Linked DNA regions of Pelodiscus sinensis. The protein of the gene in region 1 interacts with the protein of each later gene in a biochemical or structural test. Links are inferred from orthologs where the notes say so. Each region holds a gene or a part of one and is shown on either strand. Other genes may lie near its edges.

Region 1 (8,016 bases):
TCATTCCCAGCAAGGAAAAGGCTTATTTCATCCTTTTGCTATAACTGGTGCTTTAGTCATGTGTTCAACATATAAGCACCTTTTTATCCTATTATGATAATGTTGCTCAAATGAGAAAAGTGTAGGCAGCTGTATATAAAAGGATCTTCCTTCTAAACCCTCAGAGTTGACAAGTGCTGACAAATCAAAGTGAATTAATCTGGAAAGATTTGGGATTTTTTTTTTTTGTATTGGTCTCCATTTACTGGAGACTTCTGTTTAGAAAATAAAGTCAAATAAAAATCAACAATTATTTCATACCCATTTACTTTTCTATAGAAGGAAATCCCTCTACATTACTTGCAGCAGGTACATAGAATTATTTATGTTGTAACTGTCAAGCAAGTTCATTGCTGTAAATGAATACACATCCTTAGCTCCACCCTTTTATCCCCACTACCACTATTGAAAGTCATATGCTCACTGGAACTGATCATGTTCTAAGCAAAATGTCAATGCTTGGCTGTAAATCAGTGTAATTTTTTTCTCCCTGTGAAACCTCATGCTGAAGCAGGATGCTCATCAAGGTCACTATAAGATTATAGTTTTCAGTCTTGTAGAGAAGGTGCTAAGAAAAATCAATAAACATAAACATAATTAAATAAGCTTTGAAGTTTGTTGTTTGCCTTTCAATGTGAAATCACATCTTCATCTCCTGAATTTCAGTGATGGGTGGCAGGTAGATACCATGAGGCAGGTCAGCTAACTTATGCACTAGCTGTGCTGAAAGGTGAGCAGGAAATCTGGCATTTTGCAGTGTGACAGCTTAGTTCTGAGCAAACTATCTTCAACTGAATTTTTAGGAAGAGATTATAGTCTCCTGGGCTTGTCCCTGCTCCCTCCTAAGTAGAGTTTTAGTGTGGACTTTCAGCGGAGCAGGACTGGACAGCTTGCTTACTACACCTTTTCTGTATGCCCTGTTAAACTGAAACCATGCTGGACCCAACTTTTGTTTTCTGATTAATGTCAATCACCAGGAAGATCCATAGATGTACATAACTTCATATTTTTTCAAAAAAAGCCAGGAAAACAAAACCCACAAGAGAAGGAGCATCAGAAAAAAAACAATTACCAAATGGCATGGTAAAAGTTAAGAGATATGCAGATCAAATTCAAGCACTGTAGTGCATTGCATAAATGCCTCAGATACACACCGGGCTATCCTACAAGAGCGGTGGCTAAAATGCACTCTAGTAAAAGACTCCCACTATTGAGGGACATGCAAACACAGAGAAAAAGATAGCTGGGATGCTAATAAACATACACGGCATCATTCCCAGGGGCTGTAGCTGCAGAAGTGGTCACCAGGCTAGTCCTTTACCCCTATTCTTGGGCAGCTGCTGTAAAGGAGGTGTTTACCAGGCACTTTCACAGAGAGGGACCCAGGCTGGCTTGCAACAGAGCCCACTCTGTCGCACATGTCTCACATGAGGAGCCCTGGAGGAGATCGAAACCCTCAGGTGACTCCGCTACCCGCCCTACCCCCCAGCCCAGGACTTCCAAACCACCAGCTGCAAAGCCTCGGCGGCGAGACCTGTACGATCAAGGAAATCAAGGATGGGAGCCGGTGACTTACTTGCCAATGTGCTAGGTCAGGCGAGCTGCTCTCTCGGTGGCCCAAACGTGGCAGAGCTGGTCCTCCTCGGATCTCCTCTCCGCGCTATGGCCAAAGTATTTCCAACCCACTCGGGGACATCTCCGCGGCTTATTTAGCGTCACCAGGCATCTCTCTCCCCTTGGCCCGGATCGCAGGGGCCATGATTTAAACCGCAGCCTCCGGGAAGTTACACTCTTATTTGTGTTTTCAGAGGGGGGGGGGGGGGAATCGGGTGGAAGTGGCTGGTGAGCGCTCCAACTCCGGAGCGGAATGACGCCACCGACCCCGCTTGCAGTGGCAGGGGCGGGGGGTTACTTTCCGGCCACCCCAAACAATAAAATAAATAACTCGGAGGGGAGGGGGAGCGAGAGAGGAGGGAGCGCCGCCCTTTCAGCAGCAGAGCGAGGCGAGCCGGTGGATGGGCACCTGCAGCGGCAGCGCTGGGTCCCGCTGCCTGCGGAGTCCTGAGGCGCTGCCCATCCCTGCGGAGGGAGAGGGGGGGGGGGGGATCCGAGCCACCGGGAGCCCCCGCCAGCTGCCACCAACTCGCTTCCCGCGCGCGGCGGGGGAGGAAAGATCCGCCGTGCGGGGGCTGGAGCTGCCGGGCGTCCTCCGCCGCTGGAGCGCGGGAGAAACCCAAGTCCCTCCGTGCACAGCCGAGCCCCAGGCAGACAGGGGGAGAGATGGCGCTTGGGCGGGCTCCAGGCGGGAGGCAGGAAACTTACCGCGCCCCCGCCAAGTGCAGCGGGTGAGCCCCGGGAGGGGAAGCCGGGCTCAATCCGGATCCTCCCTGGGGAGCGAGCGCCGGGCTAACATCCGAGCCGGCTCCGCCAGGCGGCTTCTGGCTCCCCGCCGGGCCCCCGAAAGGAAATCACACGTGACGGGGAGAAGTTGAGGCTGCGGGGAGAGCGCTTTAAAGGGGAAAAGCTGAGGCGCTGGAGGGGGGTAGCGGAGCCCACCAATCCTTGTCCCTGTGGGGCCCGGGACGCTCACATTCCGCTGCCTGCGCGAGGTCCAAATCCAGCCAGCGCTGCTATTTCAAAACAGCCTTGGGGCCGGGGCGCGCTCAGTGCAACAGCGCCACAAGAACTCGCAACCTGCCCCTAGAGCCCGAGAGACTCGCCCCCCCCCCCCACCCCGATCCGCGGGCTCTCGCCCCCTAAAACCTTCATGTACAGAGAACAAGCCCACATTTTGCCACCGCAGCAGAGAATAAATGTAGCTTCTCCTATTGTTCTACTCCTTCCTCCTTTGGCCCACCCAAAATCTGCAGCAGGGCTTCCCAGAGCACCCAAAAAAACCTTGATGGGGAAGTGAAATATCAGATAGCACTGTTAAATTTTCCTCCTTGAACCTCCATATTTTGTCCATACAGAGAACGCCATTTAGCGTCTCCCTGTTGTATCTTTAAAATCCACACGGATGTGCCCCAGAGCCAAACTACCACCCAAACTTAGACCCCCCCCCCACACACACACACCTGGGAGCATGCCAAAGTTTCACCAAACACGCAGAACATGCACCTAAAATCAGAGTTAAAGGCGATGCTTCTACTGTTGCCTCAACAATCCGGACCCAGCAAAATTTGTAACGGCAAATGTTCTCATTGGGTACCTATAGCCTGCTAGAAATGGCTAATTTAGGCGTGCGTGCTCTATTTTACCTTCTTCTCTGTCTTACTGTACGTCATGAAATGCAATGCACTGCTTGGCAGATGGGAATACATTATCTTCTATATTCAGTAAAAGTTATGCATGGCTTTTTAAAACAGATACAGTTAAAGCTACAGGGGCTTTTTAATATTAAACGAACTGTTACAGTCCTCAACCAGTCCCTTGTCAATTAGATTACATAATCTACAAGCCCTTGACTATTTTCTAATTTGGGCTCTGGTACTTTGATTTTGTTGTGGCTCCATCTGCTAAGGAAATAACGCCCTGATTGCTACCGTAAAGAGATAAACAAAGATCCATATTTTATCATTTGCATGGCTGATCATTTATGGAACATCTCAGATCTGAGGGTTGCCTCCAGCTTTTGTTGCTAACATATTTAAAATGCATACTCCTAACTAGTTGCAGTTTCACAGGTTAAACTGATGTTTTCAACTTTCTATGTAATTGTGAGGCGGGCATAGGGAAGAAGGGGCAATGTTGGTGAATCATGATAAATTTGGCCCTGGATTCTGCACATGTGCTAAAATTTAAGCGGTGATGCAGCCAGAAGCAAAGTGGTGCCAAAGCAGAGTTTTTACAGCGTTCTACCAGAATTGGCTGGGGACTGGGAAGAAACATTTGTTTTTGGGGAGTGGGGGAGGGGCGTGGCAGAATAGTAGATCAAGCTTGTTCTGTATTTTAAGGTCCCTGGCCAACATTTGACAAGGTCCAGGTTTTGTATGCAGTGTTGCTTCTCAGTTCTGTCCCTGCAACAAGAGCAGCTAATTGTGTTTACAGGGGTGGGAAACCTTTTTTGGGTTGGGGGGTTGCAGACCCACACAAAAATGTCTGGATTTTTCACAAATTGAGAAACAAAAAACCCTCAATGACATGGCACCCAACTGAGAAAGACAAAGAGGCTCCCCACATTCCTCTTGCACACCAAAGCCTGGGGGGGGAGGGCAAGCTAGTAGATTTTCTGTGCTCTAGCTATGGAGCTGGAGCACCAGCACAGGTTCCCCAATACTGGGGGGAGCCCCAAGACTCAGGGGCCAGATCCAGGCAAGCAGAAGGCCACATCCAGCCTGGGTCTTGGATTCTCCACCCTTGGTTTACCTTGGGAGGGCATGGCAGGATCCTTTCACTGCTCTGCCCTGTGGCCCAAGAAGTGTACCTCCACTCTTTCCAGTTTATGGGGTAGAAACAGAAGTGGATTACCAATAGGCAGACTAAGCACATGCTTAGGGCACCAGCTAAGCAGGGGGCACCAAAAAATGAGATTTTACAGTATAGTATTATTTTTAATTTTAAATTACTTATGGGGGAACATCATAATCTTTTCAGTGCTTAGGGCCTCTAAAGGTCTTAATCCAGCCCTGGGTAGAAATACTGGGGGCAAAAATGTTTGCTGGATCTCACAAGATCCAAGTGGTGGAGCTGAGATTTTGCAGGTTGTGCCGAGATGCCTCAGAGAGCTGGGTGGGTGTGAAGCAGGAGACACTAGATTCGTCCCTGTTTTATGTGGAAGTGTTGGAAGGACAAGAGGGAAAAGGGGGGGGGCAGGCTCTAGCGAATCCTGCCTTTCCCGAGAGCTCCTTTAAGGGCTCAGTCGCAGTGAGAACAAATCAGTGACCTAGCTTATGTGCTTGCAGTTCCCAGGACGCCTGCCTTTTCCTCCCCTTCCAATCGATTGCTGGAGGAGTCCTAGCCGGCCGAGGGCAGTCGAAGTGCACGGACCCTTGGGAAGTTACAGGCAGAAGGGGAGGCGGCAGGGGGCAGACGCTCACGCCTGCCTGGCCGAAGCAGTGATCTTAGTGAGAACAGAAGCCGCGTGGGTGCTGGGAAAGGCTCGGCACGCGTGCGGAATGTTGGATATTTTGGGAGACGCCACCTCTTTAAAGACTCGGTCCCCCTGTAGTTTGTTGATTGCTCGCCTCGCCTGCCTTGCGAGGAAAGCTCGCCGGTGCTCGCAGAGAATGAGAGCGAGCTTACTGGGGAGGGACTCACACACCCCACACGTGGAGGCGTGTAACGTGGGGAGAGGGGGCTTGGCGAATTAATTCTGCTCGGCCGGGGAAGGAAGCCGCTGCTTGCACCCAGAGACGTCGGCTGCACCCGGGCAAAGGGAACCCGCGGGACTGGAGAACCCTCCACCCCCCAGCTGCATCCTAGCCCAGCTGCCGGAGCAGCCGCGGGGGCTCGTAGGGCGGGGGCGGGGCTTCAAACGCGTTCAGGGATAGGCTGCCGCTCGCCCCGACCACGCAGCTGGGCGGCCCCGCTGGATGATTTCAAGCGCCGCTTCCCGCTGGGTGTCAGTCAGAGCGAGGAGGTTTGGAGCCGCATCTCGCTCCCTTTCTCGGCCTGTCCAGCCCCTTTGCTCCCTGCTCGCAACCCATAGCATAGCGCATCCCCATCCTCGAGACGCTCAGCCAAGGGCAGTGTACGGGAGAGACATTTAAACCACGAGGGACCAAAGCAAACATCTTATTTATACAGGCATCCAGAGATCAGTGCATTGCAAACTCCTTAGTCCTGCGCTGGCTTAGTGTGGTGGTGATCCTCTTGATTTTCCCTTGCGGGGGGCGGTTAGGCTGGCAGATAAGATCTCTGAGCAGGCTTTCAATAAGTAGGACCAGGCCATATTTAGAGGACTAATTTCATCCCACTGACACTAAGTGGCGCTATAGAGACGAGAAAAAACTCACCTCTTAAACAGCTGAAATAAATGGACACTTTTCTCAGGGTTTGGGGTGACGGTCTAAAAGGCTTTTGGGAGTTTGAATTTTATTGAAAAGTTAGCAGCACGCGGTGTGCATTCCCTTTTCTAGCAGTAATGCCACACAGTTGAAGGGAAGTGATAGATCTGAGGAAGTGGGTCTGGCCCACGAAAGCTCATCATCTAATAAACCATCTTGTTAGTCTTTAAAGTGCTACATTGTCTTGCATTTTGCTTCAGCTGAAGGGAAGGGTAGTTGGGAAAATATTAAAAATGATTTCCTTGTTGATGTTTTACTTGACTTTTCTTGCAATTAGGCTGCTCTTGACGCAGGATTATTTAATTTCTAATTTTTATTGTTGAAAGCTCTCCAGCTGTAAATTTGGACCTGATGCAAACAAATAGTGTGAACAATAACTCTTCTATCACTTTTTATAAATATTAACTGCAATAACATTCAGTGAGCCTAGGCATCAACCAACATAATGCAACTTTATGCAGATTAAGTGCTAAACTAATAGGCTATGTCTAGACTGGCATGATTTTCCGCAAATGCTTTTAACGGAAAAGTTTTCTGTTAAAAGCATTTGTGGAAAAGAGCATCTAGATTGGCATGGACGCTTTTCCGCAAAAGCACTTTTTGCGGAAAAGCGTCTGTGCCAATCTAGATGCGTTTTTGCGCAAAAAAGCCCTGATCATCATTTTTGCGATCGGGGCTTTTTTGCGCAAAACAAATCTGAACTGTCTACACTGACCGACTTTTGCCCGAATGGGAGCAGCATAGTATTTCCACAAGAAGCACTGATTTCAGACAGTAGGAAGTCAGTGTTCTTGCAGAAATTCAAGCAGCCAATGTAGACAGCTGGCAAGTTTTTCCTCAAAAGCAGCTGCTTTTGCGTTAAAACTTGCCAGTCTAGACACAGCCATAGAGTTACTCTAGAAAGAGTAAATAAATTGTGATTTGATAAATACATAAGAACATGCACTCTGATGGAATTTATGCCTATTTGAACACATATACTTTGTATCTGGAGATACAACCCCCTTTTTAAATGGTGAAATATTAACTGAACAATATATCTGCCACCCAAATATGTATGTGACTCATGTTCAGTTCTTTTCAGTGGATCAGTAATTTGAATGGTCATTTCCAGTCATGTTTCTTTGGGGTTTTTGCCTCCACACAACTACTGGAAAAGTCAATTATATCTGCTACTATCCAAGTCTAAATATATCTATCTTTGAGTTGAGACACTTAAACGGATCTGATGAGATTGCAACACTGCAAGGATAACTCAAATATATGCTAAATCAATACATGAGAAAAGGCCCGTGAGTTTGAAAATGGATGCTCTTCTTCAAAAATTAAGCCAGTCATTTTCATCGTATATTCAGGAAGGACATTACTGCTTGAACGCCTGACAGAAATGTTGTTGAATTGAGTGTATTTGTATTTATCTATCTAATGCAATAACTTATCAGTGCCACATCTGATCAATTCCATGTTTGCAGGGAATGCTCTAGTCACCACTGACCATAAAGATTTTGATTTGGGAGAAAATTGGAAAACCAAAGCATGGAAAATGGGAGACCTATGAAGTCTCTGCCGGTTCTTTAGCTCAATCACATTTCCAGGTATTCCTATGATTGTCTACCCAGATTAAATTATTGGTTCATGAACACCCATTATTGCCTTCTAGCATAAAAATACTCCTATCTAATCTCTGCCTATCATCCCAAAACCAAGAAGATCTAAAATCTTTTACTAGAACTCCAATAGCAATGATCACTCTTCTTCCTGTGACAAGGACCCATTCAACACTTAAAATAAGAAAGGAAGTTACACTTTCAGCAACAGTAAGTGCAGCAGGGTGAAATCACATTACAGGTAAGATCAGAATGTTGTCAAGCTTGCACACCACTACTTAAAGTCAGAATAGATTAACCAAATCTTTTTCATTTAAGACAGATCACTCCTACTAACTAATGACGTCTAATAAAATATAAAT
Region 2 (6,867 bases), on another chromosome or scaffold:
TACAGTTATTAAATGCCAGCCTGGAACAAAGAGGTATTTACATGCAAGGATTGAGTTTAAACGCATTCCATTTTTAGAGATGACACTGCTCTAAGCTAGGAAAAGCTTTTCTTTATTACTACTTTGGACCACATTAAATATTTCAGTAGAAATGGTTGTGTTTAGAGTGGAAGCAGATTATCATTAAAACTAGTTAATATCATTATTGGAAATTGTTACTGGCAACTGGTGTGGTCAGTCAATGGCAATCTTTTCATTGACTGAAATGTCCTTTAGATCAGACCTGAAGTGAATCTTTGATCGTTTCTCTGACCCTGGCTCCTGAAAATTCTCTGCTTCAGTTCCCCATCTAGAAAATTAGGTCAATAAGATTTACTGCATTTTTTGTTATGTGATAGGGGTATACCCTTTTGTAACTCTGATTTTTATCAGGTGACCTTTTTATCATGTGTCTTGGTGAATGAAGATGAATGGATGTTTTATATCATGCAATATTTCAAAGATAAATAGTGTTATATTAATATTAAATTATACAAGTGTTGTTTGTTGGCAAATACATGGTAAAATAACCTGTGGTGAGATCTCACATTATTGAAATATTTCTTAATTCTATCCATCCATATGAATTAATATGGTGAGGCAAGGACGTCTCCAGGAAACTAGTAGTTTTGCAGTTTTTTAGACTGTAAAGCTTTTGTAGTGGGTATTGTCATTTACTATATATTTGAACAGTGCCTGTCATAATGGAGACTCAACCTAGTTGAGGCCTCTAGGTCATCTGGCAATTAAAATGTTAATTATAACAGGAATAAGGAAAGGTGTCTGCCATACAGTGATCCCAACTCTCCTGATTTTATCTTGAGTTTTGTAATAGTATGTGTTTTTCTGAAAGTCCTAGCTCTTGGAATCAGGTAATTATATAACCATCTCAGGTTTCATTTTTAAAAAAAGTTTATAGTCATCATGGAGTACTGCAGAAAGAGATCTAGGGTCATAGTGGACTACAAACTAAATTTGAGTCAACAGTGTGATGCTGTTGCAAAAAAAGCAAACATGATTCTGGGATGCATTTACAGGAGTGTTGTGAGCAAGACACAAGAAGTCATTCTTCTGCTCTACTCTGCGCTAATTAGGCCTCAGCTGTAGTATTGTGTCCAGTTCTGGGCACCATTTTTCAAGAAAGATGTGGAGAAATTGGAAAAGGTCCAGAGAAGAGCAACAAGAATGACTAAAGGTCTAGAGGACATAAGCTTTGAGAGAAGACTGAAAAAATTGGGCTTGTCTAGTTTAAAAAAGAGAAGACTGAGAGAGGACATGGTAGTGGTTTTCAAGTACCTAAAAGAAAGTTACAAGGAGGAGGAAGAAAAATTGTTCTCCTTGGCCTCTGAGGATAGGACAAGAAACAATGGGCTTAAACTGCAGCAAGGGAGGTTTAGGCTGGATATTAGGAAAAACTTCCTAACTGTCAGGGTGGTGAAATAAATTGCTTAGGGAGGTTGTGGAATCTCTATCTCTGGAGATATGTAAGAGCAGGATAGACAGACATCTATCGGAGATTGTCTACTCTACACGGTGCTTGGTCCTGCCGTGAGGGCAGGGGACTGGACTCGATGACCTCTCGAGGTCCCTTCCAGTTCTAGTGTTCTATGATTCTATGGTTGCCAATGTTATCACATGCCCATAAATGAGAAGAAAAATAAAGAACTTTAAATATCTGTAAAATTTCATGACTTTTAAGACAATCTGATGATTTTGGTATGTGACTCATGATTAAACTCCTAAGTTTGGCAATATTGAACATTGTACAATCATTCAATACCAGTAACATGGCTGCTGTGTCTTCACACGGATGGTCACCATGATTCCAGTGTTAGTATCCAGTAATTTTTTTTTATGCTGCAGCAGGAGACAAATTGTGACTTTATGGATGAGAAGAAGTCACTCACCAGGATTCTCACTGTATGATGTATGCAGCAAGTATTTATTCTATAACGGTTCATAAGAAAATTGACTAGATTCAGGGGCTGTCTACTGCAAATTTACAATCTTTCTAATAGCAGCCCATCATGCATCTATGGGACTATCAGTGGATTAGAGTAATGAGTCACCACTTAATCATTTAAGATGCAGCATTTTGTAGAAATACCAAATGTAGGGTGACCATAATTCCCAAAGGGATGATGGGGCAGTGCATGGGACTATGAGGGGGCACCATAGCTACTGGCTCAAGGTGCCACCCCAGACTGCCACTGGTCACTTGAATCCTGCTGGTCCCCCCACCCATGCCTATAGCTGGTCACTTGAAACCTACAGGCCTGCCATACACTAGAACCCTTTCTTTCTCCCCCTCCCTCCCACTCCAGCTGAGCCTCTCCCCTGCATGGGGTTGGCATCCCCACTTTTCCGCCATATGTTACTCGGTACCACATCCCACTTTTTTGACAAAAGTGGGCATTTATCCAGTTTGCTCTTGCTCTTTACTTTTGCCAACTGATCTAGTTAACAAGAGCAAACAGGACAAATGCTCACTTTTGCTAAATAGTCGGGACGGCTGTGATAAATCTTAAAAAAGGGACTATCCCAGCCAAAATGGAACTTAGGGCCACCGTAACCAAGTTACATTCTTTCATTTGGGAGTTTTACTGTTACTGATAAAAATAAGTTTTCCTTTTTAAGTACTGTATATATATCCTCTAAATGACAGAAAACATCAACGATCTAATTATTGTGCATTAATATCTCAGTTGTACAGAACTTTACAATGTCAAAGCACTTTCTAATTTGTAATCTCAGACAACAGGGATGATGGGTTAGCATACTATGATTCCAAATGATCCATTTGATAGGTGTGGCTCCAGAGATGACAAGTATCAGGAGGTTGCAATGTTCCCTCTAATTTTTTTCCATCCATGTGTGGAATAAATCATGTTATGTGTATTGAGGCATGTGCAATGTGCACCACCAGTAAAAACACATGCTGTCTGTTGTGGGCACTCTGGTAAATAGCTGAGCGGCATTTGAATCTCTTCGGGGCAGCTGCCCAGGGACCTAGTTTACAGGGAATATTGCAATACCCAAATCTGAGGAATGGTCCTACACAAAAGTTGCTTCCCAGCATGCAAAGCTCTTTGGTTATTCACCTTAGAGATAAGGCCTTTTGCAGCTTTTGGTTTGTTTGTTTGTGTTTCTCTATACATATAAAACGGTTAAAAAGGAGAGTCTGCCACTACAGTATTCCTTTCCCTTCCAGGACAAAGTGAAGCCCTGTGGAGCCAATAGTTCTCACTATGCAAGGTGGCCCTATCAGGAAAGTAGATCCATTCTATTGTCAACGTTCATGATTTTGTTTATGTGAGAATATCAGTTTTCATGTAACCTAGTAATTTTCTGCCTGGGAATTGTGAATAAAAGATAGCAAACAGGAACCTGAACAACTCGAAAAACTCAAGGCAAATTACTTCCCCCTCTAATTTACTATTTTTGGAATCTCCAGGTTTAAATTAGGGCCCATTCATTATTCTGGAGCCCAGCTGGTGACTTTTAGACACTAGGAATTGCCCCCACTGCCAAGCATGCCTCGCTGTGTTATCACCGCACAGGCGCCTTAGCCCTGTGGTTCAACCCGGCGCGACTTCGAGTGCCAAAATGCAACGTTCCACTCTCCTCTCAATGGCTAAGGCCCATCGGATTGCCCCTGTAGAGACTACATGTCCCAGGACGCCTTGCGGCTGCGGTCCAGCCCCGCCCGCCTTGCCGTCTGTGTGTTTTTATGCGGTCTGATTGGAGTCGCTGAGCCCATGGGGTGTGAGCGCATGCGCAGTGATTGAGCTTCGGTTCTCCCGTAGCTGTCGCTTGTGAGGGAAACGAATAAAGTTTCTCCATTAAAAAAAAAAAAAAAAAAAAAAAAAAAAGGCCGCGGTGCTGGGCCGCTGCGGGCTGCGCTCTGCGCCGAGTGGGCGGCGGCTCTGGGAGGGGGGCCGCGCTCTGGGCTGCCACCGCTTCCCTCTCCTGACTGGGCTCCCCCCGGACTCCAGTGAGTAGCAGCCGCCCGGGAGGGACTCGGCCTTCCCCCCAGAGCGCGGGAAGGGGCCCTGTGCGGGGATGGGGGTAGGGCCCGGCGGCGGGGGGAGCTGGGGAGGGGCGCACAGAGGGCTGAGGGGGCGGGGGATGCGGCAGGGGTGCCTGGGCGGGTAGGGAACGGGCGCGGGAGCAGCATATGTCTGTGCGTGGAGGGGTGTGAGGGGGCGGGGTGGGTGGGTGGGTGGGAGAGGTAGGGGGTGTCTGAGGGAGTGGTCTGAGGCTGTGGGGTGTGTGTTGCAGAGTGTAGCGAGGAGGGTGTTGAAACAGGAGCAGAGTGAGGGTGGCGTGGAGACATCCAGGGCCAGGGGACACCTGTGTGCGACTTGAGGAAACTTATTTTCATTACTGGGTAAAATACCTTATTTTGCTATTAAGACTTGTGAAGAAAGGGACTGCTTTCCAGTCAGACCCTTTCGTTTAGTTTTGCCGTATGAGAAGTGCTTCACCCTGACTCTGCGAGCACTGCTTTTTGGTGAGGGTTTGTGAAGTGACTCTACCCTGAGGGAAATTATGTGTTTATGGTATAATTAAGCTGGTAAGCATTTGAGACTCTGTAACATCTCCAGCGATAAGAGGCTGATCTCATTGCCAGTATTTTTTTCCTTTGCAATGCCTGTCTTCTGAGCATGACATGAACTCTGATGTTATCTGCTTTGAAGCACACTGTCTCTCTCTCTCTGTGTGTGTGTGTGTGTGTGTGTGTGTGTGTGTGTTGGAATTAACTCATGCAGCTTTTCAGAATTTTGCATATATGTATTACGTTTGCATTTGACATTGACATCTCAAACTGTGTTTTAAAGATCAGATCACAATTGTGGTTATGACTCATTGACTTTCTAGTTTGGTTTAGCTTTGAAAGGGTTGGCTTTCACATGGGCCTGTCTTACTCTAGAAAAACCTTTTCTTTAGTAGGTAGACTGGCAAGAAAATTCTGTGGTTCTGACATGATATTCTGACTTGATTGGAATCTAGGCTGATTTAGCTAAGCAAAATGTCTGTGGGTGGATAATGGGTTTACCTACCTGATGGACTGCAGGTGAACTATGGGATCTGACTTTATTACTAGTTAAGTTAACAAGCATATCGCTTTCATTTTGTTGGAATTTTACAATGTTGTTAAGTAGTTAGAATAAGAAATCATATACGACAGCCTAAAGATCATAGAATCATAGGACTGGAAGGGACCTCGAGAGGTCATCGAGTCCAGCCCCCCCGCCCTCAAGGCAGGACCAAGCTCCGTCTACACCATCCCTGACAGATGTCTATCTAACCTGTTCTTAAATATCTCCAGAGAGGGAGATTCCACCACCTCCCTTGGCAATTTATTCCAATATTTGACCACCCTGACAGTTAGGAATTTTTTCCTAATGTCCAATCTAAACCTCCCCTGCTTCACTTTAAGCCCATTACTCCTTGTCCTGTCCTCAGTAACCAAGAGGAACACATTTTCTCCTTCCTCCTTGTGACACCCTTTTAGATATTTGAAAACCGCTATCATGTCCCCCCTTAATCTTCTTTTTTCCAGACTAAACAAGCCCAGTTCATGAAGCCTGGCTTCATAGGTCATGTTCTCTAAACCTTTAATCATTCTTGTCGCTCTTCTCTATACCCTTTCCAATTTCTCCACATCTTTCTTGAAATGTGGCGCCAAGAACTGGACACAGTACTCCAGCTGAGGCCTAACTAGTGCAGAGTAGAGCGGCAGAATGGCTTCACGAGTTTTGCTTACAACACAGTACAGAACTTTCCTAAAGGGCATGTATGTCATTTGAAATACTCACCTGTTGACATTTCTGGAAAGAAAATGTTATCCCATTGAAACTACTTTTTTCTTTCAAGGCTCCATCTATAAGAGAACTAAACCATGAAAGTCAAACTGTTTTAAACATCCTTATAATTGATCTTTATTGCTCTGACCATTTTAATGTAAAGTATTTAAACAAATACTATTCAGTTTCAAGTGCGTGGATGACATTTTAGTAGTTATTGCATTAATTAGAATTCGATCACACTATTGTGAAGAACTGTACAGTTATTTATCCAAAAGTGAAGTTAAGGTGCTTCAGAGAGGTAGCCGAGTTAGTCTGTAACAGGAAAAACTTAAAAAAAAAAAAAAATCCAACCAAATAGACTAGTAGCACCTTATAGACTAACAAAACATGTAGATGGTATCATGAGCTTTCGAGGGCAAAACCCACTTCAGATGACCGGCAAAAGCGTTAGTATAAGGTAAATCATTAATTTTGGCAACTTCTTTTTATTCATACTCAGTCCATGAGTACCTTTTATTTTAAATTAGAAGAGTTACCTGGTGTTGGTGGGGTCCAGCCAGGGGCAGGGCCTCTCAGGCCTCACACTGGCATTCCTGTTGCCTGGCCTGGTGGTGCAGTGGGGTCATGCAGGCCAGCCCTGGCGGCGCTTCCCGGGCCCAGCCCAGAGGATGTGGTTCCACACAGGCCAGCCAGGCACAGCTGTGCTGGATGGCCTGGTGGTGCTGGGGGTGGGTGGGTTGTGGTTCCTGCGGTGGGGAGGTGGGGCTGTGCTGTCCAGCTAAGCAGTAATCCCAAGGGGGTTCAGCAGTGGGAGGCAGGGGATGCCCTGTTGATATCTGGTTCTGTGGCCAAAGGCCAGAGGAATTAGTTTAGGGCAGGGGAGCCACTTCCCTGGGCTGGCGGCAGGTAAGATGGTGAGCCCTGTCCCCAGCTGGCCATCCCTTCCTGGTGCCCCCAGTGGTCACTGTGCAGCATTACTGTACAAGAAACAGGAGGAGGGCTGTTCTGCAAAGGG

The links. The genes of interacting proteins can lie anywhere in the genome.
Region 2: the proteins of SNTG1 (region 1) and PLEKHA1 form a complex in vitro, tested with the Homo sapiens proteins (2 studies listed by BioGRID and IntAct, with this or other methods). The link is inferred for Pelodiscus sinensis from reciprocal best matches to the Homo sapiens genes SNTG1 and PLEKHA1.

What each region holds. Positions count from the first base shown.
Region 1 is NC_134712.1:68,483,129-68,491,144, forward strand, and holds the start of SNTG1 (gamma-1-syntrophin), read right to left. Parts: upstream 3,024-8,016; 5' UTR 1,616-3,023; intron 1-1,615. UniProt on the Homo sapiens protein: Adapter protein that binds to and probably organizes the subcellular localization of a variety of proteins. May link various receptors to the actin cytoskeleton and the dystrophin glycoprotein complex.
Region 2 is NC_134718.1:56,475,531-56,482,397, reverse strand, and holds the start of PLEKHA1 (pleckstrin homology domain-containing family A member 1), read left to right. Parts: upstream 1-3,867; 5' UTR 3,868-4,033; exon of another isoform or gene 4,034-4,107; intron 4,108-4,320; 5' UTR 4,321-4,429; intron 4,430-6,867. UniProt on the Homo sapiens protein: Binds specifically to phosphatidylinositol 3,4-diphosphate (PtdIns3,4P2), but not to other phosphoinositides. May recruit other proteins to the plasma membrane.